Macaca mulatta: one gene and its partners. The protein of the gene in region 2 binds, or shares a complex with, the protein of the main gene of each other region. Links are inferred from orthologs where the notes say so. Each region holds a gene or a part of one and is shown on either strand. Other genes may lie near its edges. The genes, in order: SNRPG, TXNL4A, PRPF4, PPIH, LSM2, LSM7 and PRPF6.

Region 1 (4,284 bases), on a different chromosome or scaffold from region 2:
CTTCTATAATCCGTGCATTCTCCTATTTTGGGGTAACATAACTGGGAACAAGTCCGAGGCCACTTTTTACACATCTTGACATGAAAAAGGAATACCTTGTATTAGAGAATGTTTGTGTGCTGCACTTCACGTTTTATATACGGGGCAATGGCACATCAGTGAGTTCTGGAGGTAATGTTTGAAAAATTGCAGAACTGCCAGGCATGCTGGCTCATGCCTGTAATCTCAGCACTCTGGGAGCTGGAGGCAGGCGGATCTCTTAAGGCCAGGAATTCGAGAACAGCCTGGGCAACAAAGCAAGACGTCGTCTCTACAAAAAAAAAAAAAAAAAAAAAAAAAAAAAAAAAAAATTAGCTGGGTGCAGTGGCTTGCGCCTGTAGTCTAAACAACTCAGGAGGCTGAGGTGGGAGGATTGATTGAGGCCAGGGGTTCGAGGTTGCAGTGAGCCATGATCACATCATGCATCCCAGCCTGGGTGACAGAGCAAGACCTCATCTCAAAACAAAAAAAAATTTTTTTTTGCAAGACCCATCAGTCGGAAATAGATTGAAATTCTTGGAGACAGGCCCAGTCACCTTACTCTCCAAATGGTGCAGAGGCTGCTAATTTGCATGTTACCGGAACCCTACTTGGTCTGAAAGTATGCTGTAGGATACCTGCCAAAGAAATATAGAGGCCCGGCTGGGCGCGGGTGGCTCACGCCTGTAATCCTGGCACTTTGGGAGGCCGAGGCGGGCGGATCATGAGGTCAGGAGATCCAGACCATCCCAGCTAACACAGTGAAACCCCATTTTTACTAAAAATACAAAAAATTAGCCGGGCGTGGCGGCGTGTGCCTGTAGTCCCATCTACTCAGGAGGCTGAGGCAGGAGAATGGCGTGAACTCAGGAGGCGGAGCTTGCAGTGAGCCGAGACCGAGCCACTGCACTCCAGCCTGGGGGACAGAGCGAGACTGTCTCAGAAAAAAAAAAGAAATATAGAGGCCCATTCCTCCAGGGATCATTATTTGGTATTTTGGTTTAGATGAAGAAAACAAGCGATACGATCCACAGACATGCGGGATTTGCCGGGTTTGCCCAGAAGTTAGAGAGGGGACTGTTATCTCAGTATTTCAATTTTATTTTTTAAATAGAGGAGGGGGTCTCCCTATGTTGCCCAAGCTGGTCTCGAACTCCTGGGCTCAAGAGATCCAAAGTTCTGGGATTTACGGCGCCAGGCTTTTTTTTTTTTTTTTTTTTTTTTTTTTTTTTTTTTGGCTGTTCCATAGACAAGAACACGGATACTCCATCGTCAGAATACCCGTTATCTCAATTTTGCCCAAGGAAAACCGAATTTAGAAAGGTGCCTAGAGGGCCCACCCCTCTGTCCTGGCCAATAGCTGACGACGCAACCGGAAGCTCAGCAATGACCGAGGCGCTCAGATATCGCGATGTGAAGTGTTAAAAACTGCCAACAATCGATTGGCTAACTAGGTCGATGACGCCAAACGCAAGACGCCGGGCCTACCGCGGGAGCCTGAGGGAAGCCGTGCATTCAGTTCCAAGGCGTCTGTGAGTCCGCGGAGTATACGCCATGAGCAAAGCTCACCCTCCCGAGTTGAAAAAGTAAGTATGTGTGAGAGCCAAACCGAAGTGGTCGCTTCTTTGCGTCCCCCGAGTCCCTTGGTGTTTCAAGCCGAATGGCTTGAGCCGCTTCACCTTATTTCTTCTTCCGGTCCGAGGTCGCCGGCATCCCGGCCAGGCTCCGGCTCATGAGACGTGAAGCCCGCGCAGAGCTCGCGCATTGGCGTGGTTACCGCCGGCAGCCACCGCACCTCCTTCTGGCCGACTAGTCTCTCTGTCCCGCGCTCCGGCCCCTAGTCACCCGGCGCTGTCCCTCGTTCCTTGAAGATCTCCAATGCCAGCTTTTGTTGAACATCTCTAATAGCATCATATTCTAGATAGACGGCTAGAGGGGGAAATTCTCTAAAGGAACTAAGGAGGGGATGGAAGGGAAGTGTTTTTAAAACTACGTGAGGCATCGGAATCCAAAAGCCACTTTAGCCTTAGAGAATGTGTTTGTAGGTGTTTCTTTGAGCTTTTACTTAGAAACCTCATTCTTTTTTGTTGCCTATTTTTACATTAAGCTTGAATGTCATGTGTTATCTTGCTCTGATATTGAAACTATGTAAGAACATTCATTTCTAAAATTAATGTTCTAAAAAATAAAATTTTTTTTAGAACATTAATTTTTTTCTAATCAGAGAAGGCTAATTTTTTTAAGTTTCTTTTACACACCCAGTAAAGACAAACAACTTTAAGGAGGAGAGCCTTAATTTATGTAGGACTCAACGTAAAACTTTAAACTCCTCAAATACTTTTTGACTGGACTTAACAGGTTATGTGTTTCCTCAGTACGTCTCTGTTTTGCTTGTACTCCCTGATGCTGGAATTCTACATGTATTTATTGGATTGCACAGAGGATGCAAAATTTTTACAGGAATCAATTTTTTCTGGTGTAGCATGTGGTTGGCTTTGTGTATAGTTCATTTATTACCAGGCCCCTGGAAGTCAGACATAAGGAAAAGTTCCTATTTAATAATTTTGCGGCCAGTGGCGGTGACTCACGCCTGTAATCCCAGCACTTTGGGAGGCCAAGGTGGGTGGATCACCTGAGGTCAGGAGTTCGAGACCAGCCTGGCCAACATGGTGAAACCCCCCGTCTCTACTAAAAATACAAAAAATTAGCCAGGAATGGTGGCACGCGCCTGTAGTCTCAGCTACTCGGGAGGCTGAGGCAGGAGAATCGCTTGAACCCGGGAAGTGGAGGCTGCAGTGAGTCAAGATCTAGCAATTGCCCTCCAGCCTGGGCAACAAGAGCGAAACTCTGTTTCAAATAATAATAATATTGCATTTAAAGGTATATTTGTATCAAAGCCATCTTTTGTATGAAAACTACTTTCATGTATATTTTAGTTAGGTCTGTTAAGGAATTAATTATTAAAACATAGCCCAACGTTAGAAAAATAGAAGTTAGAAATTATTGTGAAAATTACTCTTTTTATCTGAAAGTTATTTTATTGGTGAGTTGGTGATGTAAGTATCCTCTGGATTCATCAGGGACTGGTGAAATGGTGATTTTTCTTTTTTTAAACAAAAGCACCATTCTCTACTTGTAATCTAAGATTTTATTTGTGATTCATAACATAGTTTTTGAAAATTTCAGAGAAGGAAGCTAGTTTTAATACCTTTCTCTTCTCATCCATAGGTTTCATGAATTGTGAAATCCCGTGAGATCTGCCGTCAAAATGACTTTCAAATTTTTTCTTTCTTTGCTTTCTCACTGATAGCATCTTCTTTTACACCATTATGCCCTCCTTCTGGCTTAGCGTAACTCAGGGGTTCTTAAATGGGGGGTAAGGAATCTGGTGACACCAGGGATGCTGCTAAACATCCTACCGTTATTCGGCTGCCCCCAACAATACAAAATTACCTGGTCCCAAGTGTCATTAGTGCAGAAGTTGAGATACACTGGCTTAACCGAATTCTTCCTTCCACTTCTTAAAATTTGCTGCCACAGTGGTCTTGCCAGTGACAGCTTTAATAATTTATCACAGTATGCAAAACTGAATCTATACTTAAGCCAGCATTCAAACGCCAAACCTTACAGCTGCTAATACTCACGTGTTCTCTTCTCCAGTCAGACTGAACTATTTGTGTTTGCTCTCACTTGCTGTGTGACTTCGAAAAATTGATTTACCTTTTCCAAGCCTAGTTCTCCATCTGTAAAAACGGTAGAAATGACAGACCATAATTGCATGCAAAGTCATTGTAAAGATTGTATAAGATCTTGTGTTATATTTGATATGTTTTATGTATCTTATTAAAATAGTTTTGTTCATCATACTTCATAAATGTGTGTATATATTATATATAATATGTAATATATATTACATATATAATTTTACATATAATATTACATATATATTACTTTTTTTTATATATATACATATATATATATATATATTTTTTTTTTTTTTTTTTTTTTTTTTTTGAGATGGAGTTTCACTCTTAATTCCCAGGCTGGAGTGCAATGGTGCAATCTCGGCTTACCGCAACCCGTGCCTCCCGGGTTCAAGCAATTCTCCTGCCTCAGCCTCCCGAGTAGCTGGGACTACAGGCATGCACCACCACACCCGGCTAATTTTTTTTTTTTTTTTTTTTTTTTTTTTTTTTTTTTTTTTTAGTAGAGACGGGGTTTCTCCATGTTCATGTTCATCAGGCTGGTCTTGAACTCCCGACCTCA
Region 2 (4,218 bases):
TGTTTCCAGACTAACTTTCTTCCTGAAGTTCACAGCTCAGCTCTAACCCAGCATGAGGCCAGTGGGCCTTGTGGAAGCAGCAGATCAATACAACACATCCAGGAAAAAATCGTATCAAGTCCAGCCGAACATCTGCAACTGTTACTCACTTTAAAACAGCTGGGACATCGACAGGACTCTTAACAAGATAAGGAAGATTCTCCATTATCTGCCATTTCTGCACAGGGAAATTTTTAAATAGTTATATTGTTCTTTATACTAAAATCTTACATTTCAAAAATTTCTGTTGAGTTTCCCCAAAAGAGCTTCCAGAATTAGAAAGTCATATTTTGCCCATATACTAAGAAGAAAATAAAACACGAATAGTCTTTTAATGCATTTCAGGTTTGCACTTATTTTTGGAGACAGGGTCTCACTCCTGTTGCCCAGGCTGGAGTTCAGTGGTATAATCATGGCTCACTGCAGCCTTGACTTCCCGGGCTCAGGTGATTCTCCCACCTCAGCCTCCCAAGTAGCTGGGACTACAGGCATGTGCCACCACGTCTGGCATTTGTACTTTTAGTAGAGAACGGGTTTCACCATATTGTCCAGGCTGGTCTCGAATTCCTGGGCTCAAGTGATCTGCCTACACTAGCCTCCCAACCAAAGTGCTGGGATTACAGATATGAACCACCGTGCCTGGCCTAGGTTTGCGCTTTTAATAATTATACTATAATATTTGCATTAAAAGTTTATTAATAAAGCAATCCAAATTTTTGGACAGAAACAAAAATCAAACTATTTTAAAAGACCAAAAAAAAAAAAAAAATACCCCAAAGTGAGCCCATTTCAACTGTCCTTAAGTGTGTGTCCACTAGTGATACAGTGATTCATTCTGTAATAACAAAGAAATCGGACATAAAGGAATTGGAAAAAAAGAGCAAATCTGGCAAAGACCCTAACACTTACATTAACACATAAAATCTGTTTCCTAGCTAAGAGCATCTTGCTGAGCTCTGCCTGGATGTGATGAGACAAAGGCCCTCACATCGCCAGCCATCCTAGCCTCGAGCTGCCGGCAGCAGGATCTGAACACCAGCTGATGTTTATGCCACCACCTGCAAGGTAGAACAGTGAAAGATTCTAGAACTCGTAACTCAAAGTCAGTGATTTACAAGCAGTGATTTACTTATTGGGAAACTGCTCTTCGTCAATTCTTCGCTGGATTTCCAGTATCTGCCCTTGTCCACTACAAGTCAAGCAATGAAAAGCTGATGTGCTGGCACTGCCTCACTCATCATCTCTAATCCCTGGCTGGCAGAAGCCCCAGTGTGAGAGAACTGCTGCTCTCCTGATTCCCTAGGCAGCTCCTCAAGTCCTCAGTGTCCTGCTGTCCAAGAGGAAGAGGCTGGGAGATGGCTGGTAATAAAGCACTCCGCCTCTGTCCCTGACCCCCATGGAAGGGTTTCTGAGTGTGTGGTTCAAGGTCAGGTCACATCAGAATTCCCTGAGGGGCTTCTTTAAAAAGCCATTGCTGGACTTCACCCCACACCCATAGACTCAGAATCACAGATGCATTTTAGTAAGCACTCCAAGAGATTCTTGTAATAACTAAAATATAACAACAGTTCCTAACATCACACCTCTCCTACTAAATAAGAAATAGCAAGAATTAATAAATGGCAGGCCAGACAGTCTTTCCTTTCCTCAATATAAAATGTCTTTATATCTGTTACTCTTTACTCAAAGGAGTTATTTTAACCCAGCCTACTTTAGCATCTGTGAAAGAAAAGATAGCTTCAATGTTACTTTTACTCTTCATCAAAATGAATAACCGCTCAAATTACTTACGGAAAATTAATATGGCAAATATTTTATTAACACCCTAGTATTTGTGCCCTTTGCCCTATTGCTACAGCTGCAAAACCTAAATAAACGCCATCCTAAAATTGCTGTGAGGAACCACAGAAAAAGAATGAAACCTGGTTATAGTGTCCCACAACTTTTATTGTCAGCAAGTAAGTGCCAAGGCCACTCAATGTACTAATATTAGAAATTCAGAAAACTAGTTCCAACAAAGCATAGTTCTATTTTCTCCCGATGTTTTCTGCATCTTAATCACTCTAAGCTATAAATCACATGACTTACAAAAAGCGCGGTGGAAGAAAACACCAACAGAAAAACAGGATTTCTTATGCTATTAACATGAAAGTTCTGCTTTACACATACAACAAACAAACAGGGCACCAGAAAAGGGCATCCTTTTAAATTAAGGATCTGCGCTCTCAAAACCTGCAAGTGTTACTTTGTTCACTGCACTGTAAGATTGGGAAAAACGCCTTACCAACAGAAATAATGAATTCCTTCGAGGGGAGGGGGATCATAAACCCTTTAAAACGTGAACAACTACAGGAGCTCCCTGCAGAAAAAGGCGCGAAACGCCGGCACAGTCCCCGAGAGCGCTCGCCCGCAGCGCGGGAAGGAATCGCCCGGACAACCGCGCCGCGGCCCCTCCTCGGGGAACGGCTCGCGCCCCCAGGCGAGGCCGGCGGGGCAGAGGCGCGGGGCCGCTGCGGAAGCACAGCCAGCAGGGCGGGAGGGCCCGGCGCGCTACCTTCTCGGCGATGCTGTATAGGACCTCGTCCATCTTCATGCAGGTGGGGTCCCAGTCGTGGCCGAAGCGGATGACGACCACGCGGTCCTCCTCGGAGAGAATGGCCTGGTCCACCTGCCAGCCGTTGTGCAGGTGCGGGAGCATGTACGACATGGCGACCCGCGCGCTCGCCGCCGCCCGAGGCCGGGCGCCAGGGAGGGCCCAGCGAGGTGGTGGGCTCAGCCGGCCCCTCACTCCGCGGCCCCCGCCGCCCCCGGGCCCACAGCCGAAACCCGGTCCCACCCACACCCGCAAGCTCCGCTGGCACTGCCGCCGGGCGGAACCTCTGGGCGCGCACGCACCGACGCCGTGCGTGCTGACGTCATGCGCACGGGCTGGCGCCGTGCGTGCTGACGTCACGCGCGTACAGACGCCGCGCTAGCTTGTCGTTGGCCGGCGGGAGCGGCGGCGACCTGGCCACGGTGGAGCGCGGTTGGTGCCCTCCTAGCCGGCGTCGGAGTGGGGGTTCCTCCCCAGCGTCCAGGCGGCCTGGTGGTCCTGAGAAGCCCCGGGCTCGCCGTGCCCTGCCCCGACGCACCCGCCCCGAGGCCGCCCGCCGCCGCCCGGGCTGTCCTCCAGCCACGGATGGGGACGTCTTCAGAAAGGCCCGGCATGCCCGGCACTGCGGCTCGTTTTTTTCCTTTCTGGTGTCTGTTTCGGGTCATCGTTTGTGCTGTGTGTTAGCGAGACGGTTCGTGTGTGTCATTTGTGAAACTTGACCATAAAAATGTGTCGTTGTTGCCATACCCAGCCACGGCAGAGCCGAGCAGCGGGGTGGGGGGAAGCACTGGGCAGGCCGTCCTTGAGGAATGTCACCGTCAGGCCGGCTGCTGAGCTGCCTGTTGTAACCCGAAACCAGAGTTTTTGTCTTTTTATAAAGAAAAAAAATTTTTTTTGAGACGTTGTCTCGTTCTGTCGCGCAGGCTGGAGTGCAGTGGCGTGATCTCGGCCCACTGCAGCCCCCGCCTCCCGGGTTCAAGCGCTTCTCCTGCCTCAGCCTCCCCGTAAGCTGGGACTACAGGCGCCAGCCCGGCTAGTTTTTTTGTACTTAGTAGAGACGGGGTTTAACCATGTTGGCCAGGCTGGTTTCGAACCCCTGACCTCAAGTGATCCGCCCGCTTCGGCCTCCCAAAGCGCTGAAATTACTGGAGGAAGCCACCGCGCCCGACCTGAAGCCAGTTTTATTGCATAGCTTCAGCATAACTTGCACCTCCAGGACTGATCTGGCTCCCCCGGCTTCGCTCCCCAGACCCTTACTGGTGCCTATGAACTTTCTCCAAGAGAAATAATATTTCTCTTTTTAAAATAAAACCTCTAATCTCTGTTCTTCTGAGAGAGCACTTTGGGTTCATGTTAGAGACTCCCCCTGGTTTGCAAACTGACATTGACAGTAAAACTCTTGTCTACTATCCAGCCATCCTGGTGGTCCTTTGGATGACAAATTGACAACAAATCATGCCCGGGCGCGGTGGCTCAGGCCTGTAATCCCGGCACTTTGGGAAGCCGAGGCCGGTGGATCGCCTGTGGTCGGGAGTTTAAGACCAGTCTGACCAACATGGTGAAACCCCGTCTCTACTAAAAATACA
Region 3 (3,500 bases), on a different chromosome or scaffold from region 2:
GCTGGGCGTGGTGGCACGTGCCTGTAGTCCCAGCTACTAGGGAGGTCGAGGCAGGAGAATCGCTTGAACCCAGGAGGCAAAGGTTGCAGTGAGCTGAGATCGCGCCACTGCACTCTAGCCTGGGTGACAGAGTGAGACTCTGCCTCAAAAAAAAAAAAAAAAAAAAAAAGGCAAATATACTTAGCCCTCACTATATTAAACATTCTCCTCTGATTCCAATTCTCTGCAGCCCAAGAAAATCCTACCTAAAGATCTCTGCTCTAAAAATTTACCTGGCACATAGCCATAAAGAGTTAAGAAGATGCCACAGGCCTATATGGATAAAACAGTAACAGGATGGCTCACCAGGTGGTGCCCAGGAAACGTCCTGATGGATGCCACATTACCCGGGCCACACGCACTGTATGGCCTTCAATATCTGCCACTGGTTCATCACTGGAAAAGAACCAAACATATAAACAATTTTATAGACATATAAATATTCCCAAAACTGATTACCTTTTGTGCAGCTATACCCATTCTTTACAACATGAGAGGCTAAATTGTAACTACACTTGTAAAATACTTCGGCCCAATAAGCAAAATAGTCATTCTGTACCAAAGGAGTACCTGAATTCTAGAAAGAAAACATGCTTTGGAAGAGACATAAGGACACAGAAATCACACAGTTTTGGTACAGGATTACAGATAAACCTTTTTCAAATTTAGGCCTGTTCTAAGATCCAAATGAAAAAGGAACTCCTAACTAGAGATGAGGCTTAGTCTCCTTTTGGTGGCTATTAAATTCTACAATCCAGCAACCACCAAAAGATCTGAAACATCAGCAAAAGGAAATAAACATGAACTCTAAGGAGGGTAATTAAAAAGGGAACTTTGTCAATGTGCATACACAGAACAAGCCAAAGCCCGAAGGGAATAAATATTGCTAAGTATTACCAAAGCCAATTAAAACTCGCTGTGCTCGTAAGTCAGACCCTGCCTGGTGAGGAATGAAGACATTAATTAGCTCTTATAAAAATTCTCAAGTAAAAACCTTCATGTGTTTTCCCAAAGAAAGAAAACTAAGCAATTAAATTCAGATGTCTTTTGGCCAACGGGGTGCTTCCAAAGTTTTTTTTTTTTTTTTGAAAACAATCACATAAACACATGTTAAAAAACTGTTGTAGTTGGAAAATACATTCTAGGTAAAGGATGACGCTACTGGGAGGAGACATCTCCCTGGTAATACTGCTAGACAGAACCTCACTTTCCTCTCCCCTGTGGCTGTTTGCTAAGAACCAATGAATTGCCAAGAATATTATCTTTAGTTCATTGTTAATCATGTAGGAGGTAGCCTGGATCTTTCTGGAATAAATGGAGCCAGGAAATAGTGGTCACTAGGCTACAGGCAAAAATCAAGATCCAAAGTTAACAGGTAAGAAAAAACTGACGTAACTCCTTTAGTAAGAAAAGGCCTAAGAATGAAATCTTCCACTTACTTCATTTTCACACTAAGTTACCTTGACTCTTAAACCATCTTGGGGGTTAAATGCCAGATTTTTTTTTCTTTCAAGACAGAGTCTTGCTCTGTCGCCCAGGCTGGAGTGCAGTGGTGCGATCTTAGCTCACCACAACCTTCACCTCCCAGGTTTAAGCAATTCTCCTGCCTCAGCCTTAAGGTGTGAACCACTGTGCATGGCCTAAATGCCAGATTGTTAACCTGAGGTCCTGGGGACCAACCAATCAAACATCTTCTTTAGTGATGGCAGTGTGGGCCGCAGAACAGTGATATTCACCTGTCGAGACTCCAAAGCTTCACAGAGCCATCAGCCGCACAAGAGGCCAGGTTGACATCTTTTTGGTCCAAGGAGACAGTAGATTTGGGATGGAATACAATTGCTCCTACATTTGTGTTATGCCCTAAAGGAGTGTAAGAGATCCAAGTTAAAAGGTTCCTGCCTCTTTATAACCTGTGTACAAATACAGACTATGATGAACATCACAGGTAAGTATATACTAGGGAACATGTGGACATAGAGAGTATGAAAGTGACTATTCAACTATTAAAACATGAACTATTTTAAGCTACCATTTAAATTATATTTTTTAAAAAAGCAAAACAAAAAAAAAACCCATTGTGGTTTTGGTTTAGAGATTACAAAATGCCAGAGTGTGACTGGACATGACAGAAAAGTGGATGTGTATGAAGTTGTGATAGTCCAGTCTTGCAGCCAGAGAAAACCAAGTCAAATCAAATCAAGAATTAATGCTGTGTGTATGGGGTCTGAGTGTCAAGCAGAGTTTACGGTGTAACTGAGTTCACACTGGGAAAAAGACTGAGATTTAGATAAGACTCTAACTTACCTCGAAGAGTGTGAAGGAGGTTGCAATCAGGAACAGACCAGAGCTTGCAAAGCCCACTCCTATCAAATACAAAGGAAAGCATCTCAGCCAGGGTTGGTCTGGGAAGGAAAAGGTACCTTGGTAATATTACTAAAGGACAATCTCTTCTCAACCCCAACAAACTTTACAATGGCTGACAGAAACATAAAAGCCTTATAGTTGGAAGGGTTATAGAAGAAAAAGCTACCTCCAGCCTGCACGCAACTAGAGGCTTTTACTGGACTATAATTAACACTACACCAGTAGCCATTTTCCTTAACTTTTGGATCCACTTGTGAGGGAAGGTGGGGCAAATTAAACTATCCAATAATACTAATATTAATAGTGATACTATCCTTAAATATGAACAGTATTTTGCTGATTACAAAGTATTTAAATTTTTTTTTGAGAAAGGGTGTCACTCTGTCACCTAGGCTGGAGTGCAGTAGCATGATCACAGTTCACTGCAGCCTCAACCTCCCAGGCTCAAGCAATTCTATCACTCAGCCTCCTGAGTAGCTGGGACTAATAGGCGCATGCCACCACACCTGGCTAACCTTTAAAAAATTAAATAAATTTTTAAAAATTTTATGGGCCAGGTACAGTGGCTCACGCCTGTAATCCCAGCACTTTGGGAGGCCGAGGCAGGCAGATCACAAGTCAGGAGATTGAATCCCTCTTGGCTAACACAGTGAAATGCTGTCTTTACTAAAAACACAAAAAATTAGCCGGGCATGGTGGTGGGCGCCTGTAGTCCCAGCTGCTTGGGAGGCTCAGGCAGGAGAATGGCATGAACCCAGGAAGCGGAGCATGAAGTGAGCTGAGATCGTGCCACTGCACTCCAGCCTGGGCGACAGTATGAGACTCCGTCTCAAAAGAAAAAAAAAAATGTGTAGAGACAGGGTCTCACTATGCTGCCCAGGCTGGTCTCAAACTCCTGGGCTCAAGTGATCCTCCCACCTCGGCCTTCTGAAGTGCTGGGATTACAAGCGTGAGCCACCCTGCCTGGCTGGCCTTAAACTTTATTTAGGCCAGCCTAATTTTTGGAAAATTTTGGAAAATTTTCAACAAATTACTTTTATATCTATTATCTCAGATGATCTTTCTAACAGACCTGTGAAGTAGGTACAGCAGGAATG
Region 4 (4,184 bases), on a different chromosome or scaffold from region 2:
ATCTACAGGGTATTCTTAAAAAGTCCAATTTCTGGCTCAAAAAGGCTGAGATTTGGACCATGGAAGTTAATGCCTCAATCAAAGTGCTAAAGTCTGTTATCTACAGTCAGTTGTACCTAGCCACTTCCAAGAACTTCCCCATCACCATTCTCTCCAACACCCCCATCAAACCTGGCTATTGTTCTCAAGCCTTAAGACTGGGTCTCTGTAGTAAAAACAGCAATTGCAACGATAATAAAAACTAAAACTACAGGTCTTTGATAGAAAAGGAATAGTACTTACATTAACAAAATCTCCACCCTGAATCATGAAATCCTTTATGACCCTGAAACAGAGAGCAAAGAATACTGAGAGAAGATTTTATGGAGACTTTGTTATTATTGTATTAGATTAACATTGATTTCAAAATACACTATAACTTTGGCTATTATAAAATCACCATTCTTAGCTGGGTGCGGTGACTCACGCCTGTAATCCCAGCAGTTTGGGAGGCCGAGGCAGGCAGATCACATGAGGCCAGGAGTTTGAGACCAGCCTGGCCAACATGGCAAAACCCCATCTCTACTAAAAATACAAAAATTAGCCAGTCGTGGTGGCACATGCCTGTATTCCCGGCTACTTGGGAGGCTGAGGCAAAAGAATTGCTTGAACCCAGAAGGCGGAGGTTGCAGTGAGCCAAGATCATGCCACTGCACTCTAGCCTGGGTGACAGAGCGGGACTCTGTCTCAAAAAAAAACCAAAAACCAAAAACCAAAACAACAAAAAAAGAAGATTATTCTTTTCCTGGAATGATTAAGCTGAAAGGATAATTAACCATAAAAAAGGATTTTAGTTATAAATTAGGGCATGTTAGAGTTGATCAAGTGCATGATCTGGTACCTGAACAGTAACAAGAAGAAGGGGCTGAAAGCCTGCAGGAAGAATGACCACATTACTTGCCAAAGCAAAAGGCAGATCAAGGATTTGATGTAAATTTGGGGCAAAGAACTACAGAGAATTTATGTGAAAGGTACTGCTACACATGTAAGGGCTTAACAATTGTTAGCTATTACCCCTAGGGAGGGTCCTTAACCTTTGTTATCCTCAGTTTCCTCCTCTGTAGAATGCAGATCACACATACCACTTCACAGGAGTCTTACTGGGGATTAGAGACCCACAGTTCTAAAGCTGTGATATAATTATGTGCTAACATTGTTACTAACCACAGTGAGGCCATGAGAAAGATTCTATATTGAAATGAGACTAAGTGTTGCCATACTCCACTCCCCAGGAAATATGATTATCCTTGGACAATCATATATGATCATTTTAGGAATTAGTTATAAATAGCAACCAGCAGGATATATTATATGCACTTTAGGATTACAAGTGTACTTCTTTAAAAATCTGCATTTGCACAAACAAGTGCATGAAAAAGACAGGATATTGTAAAGATGAGTAGTTTCTGTTTTAAAGACATAAGAAGTGGGAGAGTATAAGTAGAGTTAGAATATTTAATAAATCTTCAGTTATTGAGTCCACAAAAACATTTCTTCTTAAGAAATGTAAGAATTACCTCTGGTTTTATTTTCCTCTAAAGAGCCTAATCCCCCAGGAAATATTTCTGAAAGACTCTAGGATGGCTTGCCAAAAGCCTTACCTGTGGAAGGTGCTTCCTTTGTATCCTATTGGAACCCCATCTTTTCTATAACAAAAAGAAAGAGACTTGGAGTGATAGCAGGTAGCACAAGGCCTTTCCAGTTTACCATGCACTGGAGCCAAAAGGACTCTCCTAAAGATGGTTGACAGACATAAAGAAGGCAAATAAACTAGGGACAGACCCTTGGGGCATTACCTTCTATCACTGTCACCAGCAATCATTCAAGGCCAGCAGCTGGTTCACCGATACCCTCACCGCAGCCCCAGAACACCCTTCTGGAGCAGGCAAAGAAGTCAAACACATCTGAAACTGACCTGAATTCTCCGGTGCAGAACTGCCTGAAAGGGACAAAAAGTGAACAATTCAATCACTATGACATCACAGTCGTGACCGCCTCTAAAGACGGGAAAGAATAAACAATGGAGCCAGCAAGTCCACCAATCGGCCAGCCAGACGTCCAAACACGGAGACGTACAGACTAACAACGTAAATTAACACGGGAACAATCCAAACGGCAACCAGACAGAGCAATGCACGGAGGAATCAGGTCTCAAGAGCAGTGAGCGGACGGACAGAGGTAGACAGGCTATTCAGGCGGCTGACTAGAGCCCGACTTCTGCCTCAGCTAATCCAGCGGAACTGGAGCACGTCCTTACCTAAAGTTCTCGGCCGTCTTAGGCACAACGTCTGCAAAGAGCTCGATCTTCATGCGGCCAACTTCCTGCAATCAGCGGGAGACTGTCAGAAGGCCCAGTCCAAGACCATGAGGGCTTCACGGAGCTGGGGGCAGGATGGGCTGACCCACCACCCTGCCGCTCGGTATCACCCACCTCCGCCTCTCTGGTCTAACCGCCCAGTTCCTCCAGAAGCGGGGCGCTAGGATTGGGGAGACTTCTCCTCATTTCTCCCCGCCCTGCAGGTCGGTAGGTTCGGGTGCAATTTCGCTTTCTGGCTGGCTTCCCGAGTCCGCTCTCTCTGGGTGAGTTCTGCCTGCCTAGCTAGCCCCGAGCAGTTTCCCTTCGGCGCAGGTGTGGGTAGCGTCCTGGATCTCACCTGACCGCCAATGCTGACATCAAAGAACACCACGGGGTTAACAGGACTTGAATTTGCCACCGCCATGGCTCCGACCCGGAAGCAGAAGTCGGGAGCGTGGGATTCCGGCGAACCTAAAGCCCTGTCCGCGGGTTTCGTCCGGGGAGCAGGCGCGGTGGACGCCGAGAGAGACCGGGCCCCGCCCCCGGAAGCTGTCGCCCCGTGCCGTGTGTGCTGAGGCTGCTGGGGTCTAGCTGGGAGACTCTCCCTGAGACGGGGGACGCGGGAGTGAGGAGGAGGAAAGCCTTGACATCTTTTTGGTTAAGGTCGATGGTCACCCCACTCACGTGGCTGTACTAAGGGCAGTACAAGTTGATCTTGCTCTAGCTAGGGCTTTTGGACTAGGCAGTCGCCAGGGTCCTCCTTATCGGCTCTTGCAACCAAGCCCTCTACACCGCCACACGTGCTGTGTCTGTCTTCTGCCCGCTAGTCTGTGAACACCGTGAAGGCAGGATCTCTGGTTTGTTCATCCTCAGCGTTTAGAACAGCTTGGCACGTAAAGGCTTGCTAAGTAAATATTTGTCCCTTCCTCTAAGTCAGGACAATAGATTATGTTTCCGTTCTGCCACAAGCTCCCAGTTTGGTCATTTCCAATTCGTTTCCCACAGAGTAACTAGAGTTTTTTATTTTTTATTTTTAAAATACCTCTTGTGATTCCTATTTATTTTTAAAATAACTCCTGGCTTCCTATATTTAGAATAAAATCCAATTCTGTACATAGGAAGCCCTCCAGTGCATTAATCTGGCTATTACCTACCTGACCTCATCTTGTACCACTTGCCCTTAGTTACTGTGCTCTGACCTGTCTGCTCCTCCAGGTCACTGAGATCCCTCCTTTCTTTAAGGCCTTGTAATAGCTGTTTCTTCTGTCTGAAATATTCCTTCCAGATCTTAATGTGGGTTGGCGGGGTGATGGTGGGGTTTGGTTGGGCTATGTGTGTGGGAAGTAATGCTCCTTGTAGTTCAGGGCTCACCCCAGATGTTACCTCCTCAGAGGCAACATTAGACCTAATCTAAAGTAGCCCTTGGTCACTCAGATCACTGGTTTGTTTTCTTCATGCCACCCCCCATTTCACATTTGTATGGTATGTGTCTGCACCTCATTTCCTGCCACACACACATACATCTTCCTCCCTAATAGCATATAAACTCCATGAAAGTAGAGACTCTCTCAGTCCTGTTCGCAGCTGTAGCTGCAATGTCTCCTACTGAATAGCACATAGTAGGTAAATATAATAGATTCAATGAATTTAGTGAAAGAAGGGGAACTTGGGCAAGACTCATTAGCTATAACAGCATGCATTTAATATAATAGTTATTATTTCCTAGGTCCTTTGATCATCTTTTCTAGCTCTGTCGTCGGAGGAAGCAAGAATTACATATAAAAATCCAGTGTGTCTCAATTTAAAGGGTCATTTTTATTCCTGGTTACTGATCCTCTCCTCTTGGTCT
Region 5 (4,166 bases), on a different chromosome or scaffold from region 2:
TTCCTCATATGTATAACAGCAATAGTACATATTACTAAGGAGTGTTTGAGAAATCAATCAATAAATGTATTCAGAATAGTGCTTAGTCAATAGGTCTTCAGATATTATTTTTCTTTCCTTAAGCACCTATCATACAACTGGCCTATACTAGGTATTAGATACACAGTAGCATATCTAATACGTAGGTTTCACCATGTTGGCCAGGCTGGTCTCAATCTCTTGACCTTGTGATCCACCCACCTCAGCCTCCCAAAGTGCTGGGATTACAGGCATGAGCCACCATGCCCAGCCTATGGCCTGTTCTGTTTTTTTGTTTATTTTTTTGAGATGGAGTCTCGCTCTGGTCGCCCAGGCTGGAGTGCAGTGGTGCCATCTTGGCTCACTGCAAGCTCCACCTCCTGGGTTCATGCCATTCTCCTGCCTCAGCCTCCCAAGTAGCTGGAACTACAGGCGCCCGCCACCACACCAGGCTAATTTTTTGTATTTTTAGTAGAGATGGGGTTTCACCATGTTAGGCAGGATGGTCTCAATCTCCTGACCTCGTGATCCGCCCACCTCGGCCTCCGAAAGTGCTGGGATTACAGGCGTGAGCCACTGCGCCTGGCCTGGCCTGTTCTTTTTTGAGACAGTCTTCCTCTGTCACCCAGGCTGGAGTAAAGTGGTACAATCATGGCTCACTGCAGCCTCGACCTCCTGGGTTCAAGTGATCCTCCCACCTCAGTCTCCCGAATAGCTGGGACTACAGGCATGTAAACCACATCTGGCTAATCTTTTATAGAAATGGTTCTATGTTGCCCAGGCTAGTCTCGACATCCTGGACTCAAGTGATCCTCCTGCCTCAGCCTCCCAAAGTGCTGAGATTACAGGTGTGAGCCACCATGGCCAGCCTAGTACTTACTCTTTATTTATTTTTTTTGAGACAGAGTCTCACTCTGTCACCCAGGCTGGAGTGCAGTGGTGTAATCTCAGCTCACTGCAACCTCTGCCACCCAGGTTCAAGCGATTTTCCTGCCTCAGCCTCCCAAGTAGCTGGGATTACAGGCACCTGCCACCATGCCTGGCTAATTTTTGTATTTTTAGTAGAGACGGGGTTTCACCATCTTGGCCAGACTGGTCTTGAACTCCTGACCTCGTGATTCACCCACCTCGGCCTCCCAAAGTGCTGGGATTACAGGCATGAGCCACACGTCCAGCCCATGAGCCACCACACCTGACCAGTATTTACTCTTTAAACTGTATATTGCTTTGTATTGTTTTCCAATACACAATACAATCCCCAAGCTTATCTGTAAATTTAAGGCACAAGGCATTTATTTATTGTTAAATTTTAAAATTTGTCTTAGAGATGGGGTCTTGCTCTATTGCCCTGGCTAGAGTGCAATGGAGTAATCACTGCTCACTGCAGCCTCAAACTCCTGGGCTCAAGCAATCCTCCCTCCTCAGTCTCCCAAAGTGCTCGGATTACAGGCGTGAGCCACTGCACCCCACCCATTTATTTCTTTTGTTTGTTTGAGACAGAGCCTCGCTCTGTCACCCAGGCTGGAGTGCAGTGGCGTGATCTGGGCTCACTGCAAGCTCTGCCTCCCAGGTTCACGCCATTCTCCTGCCTCAGCCTCCAAAGTAGCTGGGACTACAGGGGCCTGCCACCATGCCTGGCTAATTTTTTGTATTTTTAGTAGAGACAGGGTTTCACCGTGTTAGCCAGGATGGTCTTGATCTCCTGACCTCGTGATCCGCCCACCTCAGCCTCCCAAAGTGCTGAGATTACAGGCGTGAGCCACCGCACCCGGCCATTTATTTCTTCTGTACATATTCCACCTCACCCAGCCCTCAAATATTTCTCAAATTAAAGAGGTTCCAGGGCCCTGGGCACACCCACCCCCAACAGACTTGTTGGAACAGGTACCTACCTCAGGTCATTCTTGAGTTCCACGACCACATCCTTGCCCACAAGGGACTTGAAAAAAGAATAGAAGAGCTATTGGGAGAGAGGGGGAAAACCATCATGTGGGAAGGAACATGGTAGGGAGGAGTGTCCCTTGACAGTATTACCAAATACCGGTATTGTGAACCCCATTGCATCCCTAACAGTTCTCAAAATTTCACAGGAAAGAATAATTGGTTGAGAGGTGAAAGGCTGGAGCCCAAATTATTCTGCACACTGCATTGAGCCCATCACTTAAAGTCCCAGAGAGGCTCTGCCCTGCATACCTCGGCCTCCCCAGTGTGCTCTCTCAATCGACCACCTTTCTCGGGTACCTGCCCACTCCTTTCAATGAATTACAGAAAACATCCCACCCGCACCCTGCCGAAGCTTGCCTGGCAGAGAAGTGCTCTAAGGTCTAACTTTTCCGTCTCCCGCTGTCCCCACTGAATCTCTCTCAGGGTTGGGGTTTTTTTCCTCATCATGGAAAAAAAAAATCCCATTTGCTCTCAGGTGTCTCCTCAACGAACTTGAGGAACAGGACTAACGATGAAGATAAAAACTCCGGACCTAACTCCAGCCTAGGGGGACAAAGGCCAGACCCCCCTGCCCCAACCGTCCGAGATCCCCGAGGGCGACCCCTTTTGACGTCACGGTACCCACCATGGTGCTGGCGCAGCGGGCAGCGGGCCGGAGCGAGAAAAGAGCCGGATGCTGAGACCAGGTCTGGGAGAACCGAAGCGCGAGCCCGCGCGTGGGGCGAGGCGGGACCGCGCAGGCGCAGCGGGAAGGGACGCAGAACCCTCCAAGCGCTGAAGGGTAAAGCGCGGCCGACTTGCGGCTGGGGAGCGCAAGCTGGGTAAAACCGAGGGGAGGAGGAAGCCGGGAAAGGGGCGGGGTTTCCTTCGTTCCGACTTCTTCCAGGGCCGGCCGGCTCCCATTGCGCAGGCGCGGACCCTAGCCTGGGCTGCTAGGCGGGTGGAGGCACTCGGCGTCTGAGCTCAAAAGGTTTTGTTTTCCATAACCCTGCCGTCCACAGCGTGATGTGTTCGTGCCCTCTACACACATCCTATCGAGAATTGTGGGGAGTTTGTGAAGATTATGAAGTGTGCACTTTTCTATATTTGTTAAAGTAAAAACATAAAATTCAAAAAATAAAATTAAAAAATGTTTTTAATCTTAAATTCAGCTGATAAAAAAAAAAAAGGCCGAGGGCGGTGGCTCACGCCTTCAATCCCAGCACTCTGAGAGGCCAAGGTGGATGGATTGTGTGAGGTCAGGAGTTCGAGACCAGGCTAGCCAACATGGTGAAGTCCCGTCTTCACTAAAAATACAAAAAAAATTAGCCAGGCGTGGTCGCGGGCGCCTGTAATCCCAGCTACTCGGGAGGCTGAGGAAGGAGAATTGCGTGAACCCGGGAGGTGGAGGTTGCAGGGAGCCAAGATCATGCCACTGCACTGCAGCCTGGGCGACAGAGCGAGACTCGTCTCAAAAAAAAAAAAAAAATTGGCCGGGCGCGGTGGCTCACGCCTGTAATCCCAGCACTTTGGGAGGCCGAGACGGGCGGATCACGAGGTCAGGAGATCGAGACCATCCTGGCTAACACGGTGAAACCCCGTCTCTACTAAAAAATACAAAAAACTAGCCGGGCGAGGTGGCGGGTGCCTGTAGTCCCAGCTACTCGGGAGGCTGAGGCAGGAGAATGGCGTGAACCCGGGAGGCGGAGCTTGCAGTGAGCTGAGATCCGGCCACCGCACTCCAGCCTGGGTGACAGAGAGAGACTCCGTCTTAAAAAAAAAAAAAAAAAAAAAAATTGACCGGGCGCAGTGGCTGACGCCTATAATCCCGCACTTTGGGAGGCCAAGGCAAATGGATCACCTGAGGTCAGGAGTTCTAGACCAGCCTGGCCAACATGGCGAAATCCTGTCTCTACTAAAAACCCAAAAATTAGCCAGGTGTGGTGGCACGCGCCTGTAAACCCGGGAGGTATAAGTTGCAGTGAGTGGAGATCGTGCCATTGTACTCCAGCCTGGGCAACAACAGTGAAACTCTTGTCTCAAAACAACAACAACAACAAAATGTTGAGGCTTGTAAATCCCAGCATTTTGGGAGGCTGAGGCAGGAGGATCATTTGAACCCAAGAGTTACAGTGAGCTACGATCTCCCCACTGCATTCCAGCCTGGGCAAGACTCTGTCTATAAAAAAGAAAATTATAAAAAACAAAAAAATGTTGAGGAGTCC
Region 6 (4,046 bases), on a different chromosome or scaffold from region 2:
TCACAACTGGACGGCACGTTCATCCAGATGCGACATGGACTGACATACTTTGAAAGGGTCACTCCTGCTGTGTCGAGGATGGACTAGGGATGTGGGGGACAAAGGCAGCCACAGCAGGGGGATGGCGGTGGGGCTGGAAGAGTGGAGACTAAGAAGGAGCCCAGTGGCAGCAACGCCTTAAGAGAACTCTGAGAGAGGAGTGAAGGTTAAGGGCCGCATTTGTGAGGCTGCTCCGGGTTCCATTCCCTGAGCCACCAAACTCAGGTAAGAGGGAAGACTTGGAATTAAGAAAATAAAAGATGCAGTTACGACAGTGCCATCTCGTAGACTGTCCCCGCTAGAACCTGACACTCTACATCAAAGGATACACAATGAATATAAGGAAGGCGTGCTGTCCCTAGGCGCTGGTCACCCTGGGTAGCATCTCCAGAATCCACACCATAGTCGACCCCCCTTCTCCAGACGAGCAACCGACGCTCAAAGCAGGGAATTCCCTCGTCCAAGGTCACGGAGTAAAAGATGGAGCGGGGATACGACCCCAGTGCAGGGCTGGGCTCTTGGCCGCTCCAGGATGCTGGCCAGTCACTGGGGGACACGCGGGACGCCTCTGGGTTCCCCCACCGCACCCCCTAGGGTGAGGTTAGCTTAGCACCCGGCCATTCCGCCTAAAGGGAAACTGAGGCTCGGAGCGGGGTGGGCGGCCGCCTGCCCAAGGCCACAGAGCGGGAGAGAGGCGTCCCCCGCGGCGGCTGGAGACCCCGAAACGGACAAGCAGAACCGGGAGATGGAGGGGGCACAAACTTCAGGCCCGGTGGGAAGTGAGGGGCGCTGCAGCGGCGGAGGGCCTCCGAGGCGGGGAAGGGAGAGAAGCCGGGGACAGCCCCGCAAGGTCACGGCCGGGCCCCGGCACCGCCGGCCGACAACGAGGGGACCGCGGATCCCCGAGGCTCGACCCCCCAAGACGGGCCAAGAGGGGTCGTTCCTGCGCGTAGCCTCGGGGCCGAGAGGCCGAAGGGCCGCAGCCTGCGGTGCCGTCGGGACCGGTGCCGCGCTCACCTGGGCCGCGAGGAGCAGAAAGGCCGCCACAAGCCGCGCCAGCGCAGCCGCCGCCACCGCCGCCATCTCGGCCGGTGCCCGCCGCAACCGTCGGCAGATGTTTCCCAGCAACGCCCCGAGACCCCGGGCCACGCATGCGCCGCGCATGCGCGTGGGGGGGGAGGGGAGAGGTCACAGGGCACGGGGCGGTGTCTGCGAAGAGCCGCACGGCGCGACAAGATGGCGGTGAGCGCGCGGCGGAATCCGGAGCCGGGGGGCGTGGGGCTCGGGCCGCGCTCCAGGCCTCATGCGCTCTGCTTTCCCCGCAGGATAAGGAGAAGAAGAAAAAGGAGAGCATCTTGGACTTGTCCAAGTACATCGACAAGACGATCCGGGTGAAGTTTCAGGGAGGACGCGAAGGTGAGGCGGCTCCCGCCGTTGGCACCCCCCCTTTAAAATTTTAAAATAAACTCAGCAAGAGAGGTGATGAGGATGCATGCAGAGGCGCCTCTTTTATTTATTTTTATTTATGTATTTATTTGAGACGCAGTCTCGCTCCGTCGCCCAGTCTGGAGTGCAAGTGGTGCGATCTCAGCTCACTGCAACCTCCGCCTCCCGGGTTCAAGCGATTCTCCTGCCTCAGCCTCCTGCGTGGCTGGGGCTACAGGCGCCACCACTCCTGGTTAATTTTTGTATTTCTAGTAGAGACGGGGTTTCACCATGTTGGCCAGGCTGGTCTCAAACTTCTGACCTCAAGTGATTCGCCCGTCTCGGCCTCCCAAAGTGCTGGGATGACAGGCGTGAGCCGCCGCAGAGGCGCCTCTTTACACGCTTGACGCCGACTACCTTGTGCAGGCTTCCGAATTACGCCGGGAGGTAGGAACTGGTATGGCCATTTTGCAGGCGGGGAAACTGGGGCAAGGAGCGGGAAACAAACGTAACCCAAAGTCACAGTGGCGCAGCCGGTATTGGGATTTCCGGCTTGGCCTCCAGAGCAGTCCTGTGTGTCCAAGGACTGCCCCAGATCCCCACAGATCTCCCGGCTTCTCCTCTTCCTCCCTCTAAGTCAAGGTCTTTCCCGCACAGCAGTGTGGACACATTTGGGGCCGGATTCTCTGGAGTGGGGCCGTCCTGGGGCACTGCAGGGTGCTGAGCAGCATCCCTGGCCTCCACCAAGTTGTGACAACCTAAATAGCCTCAGACATTGCTTAGTGTTCTCTGGGGATAGGATCGCCCCCCGACCCCCAAGCTGTGATTGGGAATCACAGCTACTAAGGTCAGTCTCCACTCAGCGGCCAGAGGCACCTAATGAAAAAGAAATGGAGGCTTCTTGCTCCCTGCTGAAAAGCTCTGAGGCTCCCCGTTGTTTTGGAGTAAAATCCGAATCCATACTTCTGATTATGACTGCAAAGGGCGGCAAAAGCACAAGTTCCACAGGTGCTTGCTCTGGGAAGCCCTCCCTGACCCTGGCGTCAGGCCCCCCATCGTTCTAGGATCCTGGTGGCACCTGTCACCGTTTGCGGTTTCGTGCATGTTAACCTGATGCTTGCCTCTGCCTGCGACTCTTCCATGGAATCTAGTGAAGACAGGGCGAGCTCTCAGAGGGCAGGAAGCATTCGCATGGGCAGTGGGCTGGTGATGCATGCTGCAGCTCTTGGCGGGGCGCAGGGACTCACGCCTGTAACCCCAGCACTTTGGGAGACTGAGGCAGGCGGATCATATGATCAGGAGATCGAGACCAGCCTGACCAACATGGGGTTTTGTGAAACCCCATCTCTACGAAAAATACAAAAAAATTAGCTGGGCGTGGTGGCGCACACCTGTAATCCCAACAACTCAGGAGGCTGAGGCAGGAGAATCTCTTGAACCCAGGAGGCAGAGGTTGCAGTGAGCTGAGATCGCGCCACTGCACTCCAGTCTGGGAGACAGAGCGAGACTCCGTCTAAAAATAAATAAATCACACACACGCACACACACAGCAGAGAAAGGGTTTGCTCCCTGAAGGACTCACCTGATATGGTCAGGCTCACCCAGGGTGTTTCCCTCTAGATTGGCTCAAAGTCAGCTGGTTCAGGGGCTTAAACAGCTGCATAACCTAAGTGCAGGAGTGACGTCATGTCCCCTCAGAGTCACAGGCCCGAGCCCACACCCCGGGGAGGGGAACCTTGGTTAGAGACCTACCTACCTCAGTGCTCACATCTGTCCCCGTGAGGAGGGCTGGCTCACTGGTCAGGCTGGTGCCAAGGACCTGAACCGCTGCGTCTGACCCCATCTCATAGGTGACAAGTTTCATTTTGCAGGGGAGGGACTTGAGCACAGAGAGAGGGAGCCGTGGAGGTAGGAGCTAAAGCCTGTATGCAGGTGGGCAGACCTTCTCTGTAGAAGGCCAGACAGCAAATATCTTCAGCTTTGCAGCCCAGATGGTCTCTTGTCACAACCAGTGAGCTATGCCCGCAGAGCAGGAGAGCCGCCCTGGTCAGTGCCTGAGCGGGCGAGTGTGCTGGTGGGCCAGTGAAACTTTGGCATACAGAGATGAGCGGTGGGCCACTTTCGCCTCTGGTCGTAGTTCGCAGCGCAGAACGGCCATGGACAGGCTCACAGCCCTGCCTTGGGAGAAGATAGGCGGGCAGAATAATGCCTGGGGTGCCTGCTTCCTGAGATTGGTGGGGGGCATGCAGAGGGCAGCACCCTAAGGGGTGTGGGTTGGTGTCTGGAGGAAGCACCTGAAAGATGACAGGGGTAAGAAGGAGGGTAGGGAGCGGGTGGCTGTGGGACGCCCCTCAGTGAGCGCAGAGGCGGAACCGCTCCTGGGCCTGGGCTGGAGGAGCCTGGGGGGAGAGGACGGGAGTCCCGGACAGGGAGGGTGGGCTGGCCTCTGCTGAGGACACGCAGCTCCCCCTTCACCCTTCTCAGTGTCACCAGACACTGCGGAGCAGGATCAGATGGCAGAGGTCACCACCGGGTCAGAGAGCCCTAACCCAAGGTGCCAAGTTGTGACCTAAGGCGGCGAG
Region 7 (3,500 bases), on a different chromosome or scaffold from region 2:
TGCAGGTGAAGGCATCCAGCACAAGCAAGACCAGCCTGGGAGAGCCAGGGCCGCACAAGGCCCCCAGGAGCTGCCTGTCTGCAGAGTGCAGTACTCCAGCCCCGTCACCCTGAGCTGGATGCAGCACCTCCATGAACAGAGCCTGCACCTCGCAGACTCCTACCCACCTCCAGGGCCCTCCACGCCACCTCCTCTGTGGAGTCAGCTCTCCGGGGTCCATCCTTCCCTCGTCCCAGCCATCGTCAACCCCTCCCTCTCCCAGGCACCCTCCATCAGAACACAAACTAAACTGCATCAAACCATCTGCAGGCCTGTCCCAGTACCTAAGCCGAACCCTCCCAAGGCAGGGACCGTGATTTTTCGTGGCCAGCACCTACTGCCTCGCAAGCCCCCGAGCCTGGAAACACTGCACAAGTCACTCCACACAAGCAGCTGGGTGAGGACGGCCCACCTGATGGGTAAGCTGTGCCAAGAGCCCAGGCTGCCCCCACTCATCAGGACTCACCACAGCCCAGGGTTCTTTGGGTTCTTCAGACGAGACTTTTCCAAAATGGCCCGGGCTCGAGTTAGCTGCCCAATCTTCTCCTCCAGCCGAGAGAGCAAAAGCCACAGGGGTGTGGAGTGGGGACACTTCTTCAACTGCAGCCGACAAGTGAGAGAGCAGCTCAGGTGGTGTCTATGAAGAACTGGGACGCAGCCATGCCAGCTGCTCACTGCAGTGGGCGAGCCAGCACCTCAGGACTGCCTGTGTCCCACTCTGCATTTGTGGGTTTACGAGTGTGCGGTGGTGCTGTGGACCTGTGCACACAGGTCTGTACATACCAGCCTTTACTTCAGGTGTGCCACGCTCTGCACTTCTGAGAGCAGCGTGTGCAGCTTCATACAAGGCAAAGCACAGAACTCAGTGAGGGGACCGGGGTGTGGGTCCTGAGCCCACAGCTCCCTCGCTGTAACCCCCAGCCCTCCACATCTCCTCAGAGGTGAAGGGCAATGGCCCTGCACCAGGGGGCTCAGTTCTGTGAATGCCGGGCCAGCTGCAGCCCGAGGGTGCAGGCAGACATACCCCCTGGTTATAGGCTTCCCGCGCGTTCTCCATCATCTCCTTCTGCTCCTCGATCTGCCCCTTCATCATCCACAGCTTGGGGAAGTCCTCATAGTGCCGCAGGGCCTCCTCGCACAGATCCTGGGCTGCCCTGATGTTGTCTTGCACCCACTCCAGCTTCACAGACTTCATGAACACCTGTGGGGCAGACACGCACCGTCAGCAGGGCATCGGCTCCAAGGCACGTGCTTCGTGTTACGCTCGTCCTCGACACTGTTACCTGCAGCACTGTGGGTACTTTTGTAAGCTTTTCATAGCCTGTTTGTGTACACAAAAGGTGGGGATAAATATATGAGTATGTTTTTGTTTTGTTTTTTTGAGATAGAATCTTGCTCTGTCACCCAGGCTGGAGTGCAGTGGCGCGATCTCGGCTCACTGCAAGCTCTGCCTCCCAGGTTCAAGTAATTCTCCTGCCTCAGCCTCCCCGAGTAGCTGGGACTACAGGCACACGCTACCACACCTGGCTAATTTTGTATTTTTAGTAGAGACGGGGTTTCACCATGTTGGTCAGGCTGGTGTTGAACTCCTGACCTCGTGATCTACCCTCCTCGGCCTCCCAAAGTGCTGGGATTGCAGGTGTGAGCCACCGCGCCCGGCCGCATGCAGGTTTTGTTGTTGTTGTTGTTGAGTTTCCCTCTTGCTGCCCAGGCTGGAGTGTAGTGGCGCAATCTCAGCTCATGGCAACCTCCGCCCCCAGGTTCAAGCAATTCTCCTGCCTCAGCCTCCTGAGTAGCTGGGATTATAGGCATGTGCCACCACGTCCAGCTAATTTGTATTTTTAGTAGAGACAGGGTTTCTCCATGTTGGTCAGGCTGGTCTCAAACTCCCACCCTCAGGTAATCCATCCGCCCTGGCCTCCCAAAGAGATGGGATTACAGATGTGAGAGCCACCACGCCCGGCCACACGGATGTTTTAAAGTCACATCACAAAGATGAGTGTGCTGTGTGCTGAGATTACAGGCGTGAGCCACCATGCCTGGCCATATGAATGTTTTAAAGTCACATCACAAAGATGAGTGTGCTGTGTGCTGAGATTATAGACGTGAGCCACCATGCCTGGCCATATGAATGTGCTCTGGTCTCGTTTGCCTGCTGTCATCTCACATCACCACTCAAGCCAGGTGCGGGGCCCACGTGTGCACACCACGCACCCCGGATGGCCCAGCCCTGCCTGCCACTGCGTACCCGGGCGGTGGGGGCGCTGCTCCGCGCCTTGGCCAGCAGCCTCCGGGCCCGCTCGTACTCATCATTCTCGGACTCCAGCTTCACGGCCGCCAGCCAGATCTCCTCGCTGTTGGGGTTGGCCTGGAGGGCAAGTACAGCAGCGTCAAGAGGGGTCAGAACACAGGGACCAGCGCCTGATCACACTTAATCAAAAGCAGGCAGGCAGGAACTGAGCCAGGCCTTGTTCTGCTGCAGGATTAGTCCGGCCCAAGCCCTTCCCAGGGAGGAGATGACAGAGCAGACTCCAGTGCAAGAATCCGGACTCACCTGGAAACACACAGGTCCATGTTCACTCTAGTACAGCGCGGACAGCGAGGAGGCTGCCAAAGCACTGAGCAATAATGGGGGTGGGAGCAGGGCCATCTTATCCAGGATCCATCCACACCCTCTCAAAGCCCCTGAATGGGTCACTCACACCCTATAGAGACCCACCACACCCAACCTCGCTCTTTGCCCTGAGCCTGATGAAAGGAAGCCAGCTGTTCTGTCCTCATGAGCCCACATGGGCAGGAGAGAGGACTCCCAGAGTGCCACTGACATGTGGAGAAGGCGTCCACAGGCCGAGGAGGCTCACACAGCCCAGAGCCCAGTGGACATGAAGGCTCTGCCCTCGGAGCCTCCCCAGGGCTGGTGCCCAGGGCTGTCTGAATGCATCCTAATCAGCACAGCCGCTCACTGACCATGCAAGATGACCACATCACAGACCTGAAAAGCAGCCCAAAAACGATGGGCAAGGAAAGCCGCCTGACAGGCAGCAGAGAGCGGGCAGGCGGAGGGGACGCTGCGGTCACCCACAGGAGTGATGCCATCTCAAACAGGCAGCTGAGAGCGGAAGGTAAAACCCAGGCCAGGCCCCTCTCATGATGTTTGCTCAAGGAAGGGCACGCTCTATGACATTAGCCTGCACTGCAGTAACTGACGTTTATACAGCATTCTACAGTTTATTAAAAAGTATGTCATGAAGTATTAGGATGCTATATGTGAAAATAAAGACAAGTACTTAAAAAAACACACACACACCTCATGACAACCAGGCACCCTCAGACAACCCGGCTCAGCGAGGCTGTCTGAATGCGTCCACTCACGTAAGGGCACCCTCAGCCCGTGTGACCTCATGCTCTACACTCTGAAACATTTACCCGTGGTCACACGGCGTCGGGGGCCAAGAGGTACG

The links.
Region 1: TXNL4A (region 2) and SNRPG share a complex: the UniProt entries of both Homo sapiens proteins name them as parts of the U4/U6-U5 tri-snRNP complex. The link is inferred for Macaca mulatta from reciprocal best matches to the Homo sapiens genes TXNL4A and SNRPG.
Region 3: TXNL4A (region 2) and PRPF4 share a complex: the UniProt entries of both Homo sapiens proteins name them as parts of the precatalytic spliceosome. The link is inferred for Macaca mulatta from reciprocal best matches to the Homo sapiens genes TXNL4A and PRPF4.
Region 4: TXNL4A (region 2) and PPIH share a complex: the UniProt entries of both Homo sapiens proteins name them as parts of the U4/U6-U5 tri-snRNP complex. The link is inferred for Macaca mulatta from reciprocal best matches to the Homo sapiens genes TXNL4A and PPIH.
Region 5: TXNL4A (region 2) and LSM2 share a complex: the UniProt entries of both Homo sapiens proteins name them as parts of the precatalytic spliceosome. The link is inferred for Macaca mulatta from reciprocal best matches to the Homo sapiens genes TXNL4A and LSM2.
Region 6: TXNL4A (region 2) and LSM7 share a complex: the UniProt entries of both Homo sapiens proteins name them as parts of the precatalytic spliceosome. The link is inferred for Macaca mulatta from reciprocal best matches to the Homo sapiens genes TXNL4A and LSM7.
Region 7: TXNL4A (region 2) and PRPF6 share a complex: the UniProt entries of both Homo sapiens proteins name them as parts of the U4/U6-U5 tri-snRNP complex. The link is inferred for Macaca mulatta from reciprocal best matches to the Homo sapiens genes TXNL4A and PRPF6.

Annotation. Positions count from the first base shown.
Region 1 is NC_133418.1:54,435,739-54,440,022, forward strand, and holds the start of SNRPG (small nuclear ribonucleoprotein G), read left to right. Parts: upstream 1-1,484; 5' UTR 1,485-1,572; coding exon 1,573-1,604; intron 1,605-1,720; exon of another isoform or gene 1,721-2,051; coding exon of another isoform or gene 2,052-2,059; intron 2,060-3,246; exon of another isoform or gene 3,247-3,347; coding exon of another isoform or gene 3,348-3,394; intron 3,395-4,284. UniProt on the Homo sapiens protein: Plays a role in pre-mRNA splicing as a core component of the spliceosomal U1, U2, U4 and U5 small nuclear ribonucleoproteins (snRNPs), the building blocks of the spliceosome.
Region 2 is NC_133423.1:1,023,876-1,028,093, reverse strand, and holds the start of TXNL4A (thioredoxin-like protein 4A), read right to left. Parts: upstream 2,801-4,218; 5' UTR 2,747-2,800; coding exon 2,594-2,746; intron 1,098-2,593; exon of another isoform or gene 985-1,097; coding exon of another isoform or gene 949-984; intron 1-948. UniProt on the Homo sapiens protein: Plays a role in pre-mRNA splicing as component of the U5 snRNP and U4/U6-U5 tri-snRNP complexes that are involved in spliceosome assembly, and as component of the precatalytic spliceosome (spliceosome B complex).
Region 3 is NC_133420.1:45,025,925-45,029,424, forward strand, and holds part of PRPF4 (U4/U6 small nuclear ribonucleoprotein Prp4), read right to left. Parts: intron 2,442-3,500; exon of another isoform or gene 2,426-2,441; coding exon of another isoform or gene 2,403-2,425; coding exon 2,344-2,402; intron 1,900-2,343; coding exon 1,776-1,899; intron 436-1,775; coding exon 346-435; intron 1-345. UniProt on the Homo sapiens protein: Plays a role in pre-mRNA splicing as component of the U4/U6-U5 tri-snRNP complex that is involved in spliceosome assembly, and as component of the precatalytic spliceosome (spliceosome B complex).
Region 4 is NC_133406.1:198,100,205-198,104,388, forward strand, and holds the start of PPIH (peptidyl-prolyl cis-trans isomerase H), read right to left. Parts: upstream 2,801-4,184; 5' UTR 2,760-2,800; coding exon 2,694-2,759; intron 2,362-2,693; coding exon 2,297-2,361; intron 1,979-2,296; coding exon 1,955-1,978; exon of another isoform or gene 1,862-1,954; coding exon of another isoform or gene 1,836-1,861; intron 1,686-1,835; coding exon 1,641-1,685; intron 326-1,640; coding exon 283-325; intron 1-282. UniProt on the Homo sapiens protein: PPIase that catalyzes the cis-trans isomerization of proline imidic peptide bonds in oligopeptides and may therefore assist protein folding. Participates in pre-mRNA splicing.
Region 5 is NC_133409.1:150,509,299-150,513,464, reverse strand, and holds the start of LSM2 (U6 snRNA-associated Sm-like protein LSm2), read right to left. Parts: upstream 2,801-4,166; 5' UTR 2,591-2,800; coding exon 2,588-2,590; intron 1,979-2,587; coding exon 1,911-1,978; intron 1-1,910. UniProt on the Homo sapiens protein: Plays a role in pre-mRNA splicing as component of the U4/U6-U5 tri-snRNP complex that is involved in spliceosome assembly, and as component of the precatalytic spliceosome (spliceosome B complex).
Region 6 is NC_133424.1:3,075,559-3,079,604, reverse strand, and holds the start of LSM7 (U6 snRNA-associated Sm-like protein LSm7), read left to right. Parts: upstream 1-1,246; 5' UTR 1,247-1,275; coding exon 1,276-1,281; intron 1,282-1,364; coding exon 1,365-1,455; intron 1,456-1,522; exon of another isoform or gene 1,523-2,611; intron 2,612-3,046; exon of another isoform or gene 3,047-3,130; intron 3,131-3,220; exon of another isoform or gene 3,221-3,642; intron 3,643-4,046. Other genes in the region: SPPL2B (signal peptide peptidase-like 2B), read right to left, coding at 1,057-1,122. UniProt on the Homo sapiens protein: Plays a role in pre-mRNA splicing as component of the U4/U6-U5 tri-snRNP complex that is involved in spliceosome assembly, and as component of the precatalytic spliceosome (spliceosome B complex).
Region 7 is NC_133415.1:116,912,815-116,916,314, reverse strand, and holds part of PRPF6 (pre-mRNA-processing factor 6), read right to left. Parts: intron 2,408-3,500; coding exon 2,288-2,407; intron 1,241-2,287; coding exon 1,064-1,240; intron 640-1,063; coding exon 506-639; intron 1-505. UniProt on the Homo sapiens protein: Involved in pre-mRNA splicing as component of the U4/U6-U5 tri-snRNP complex, one of the building blocks of the spliceosome.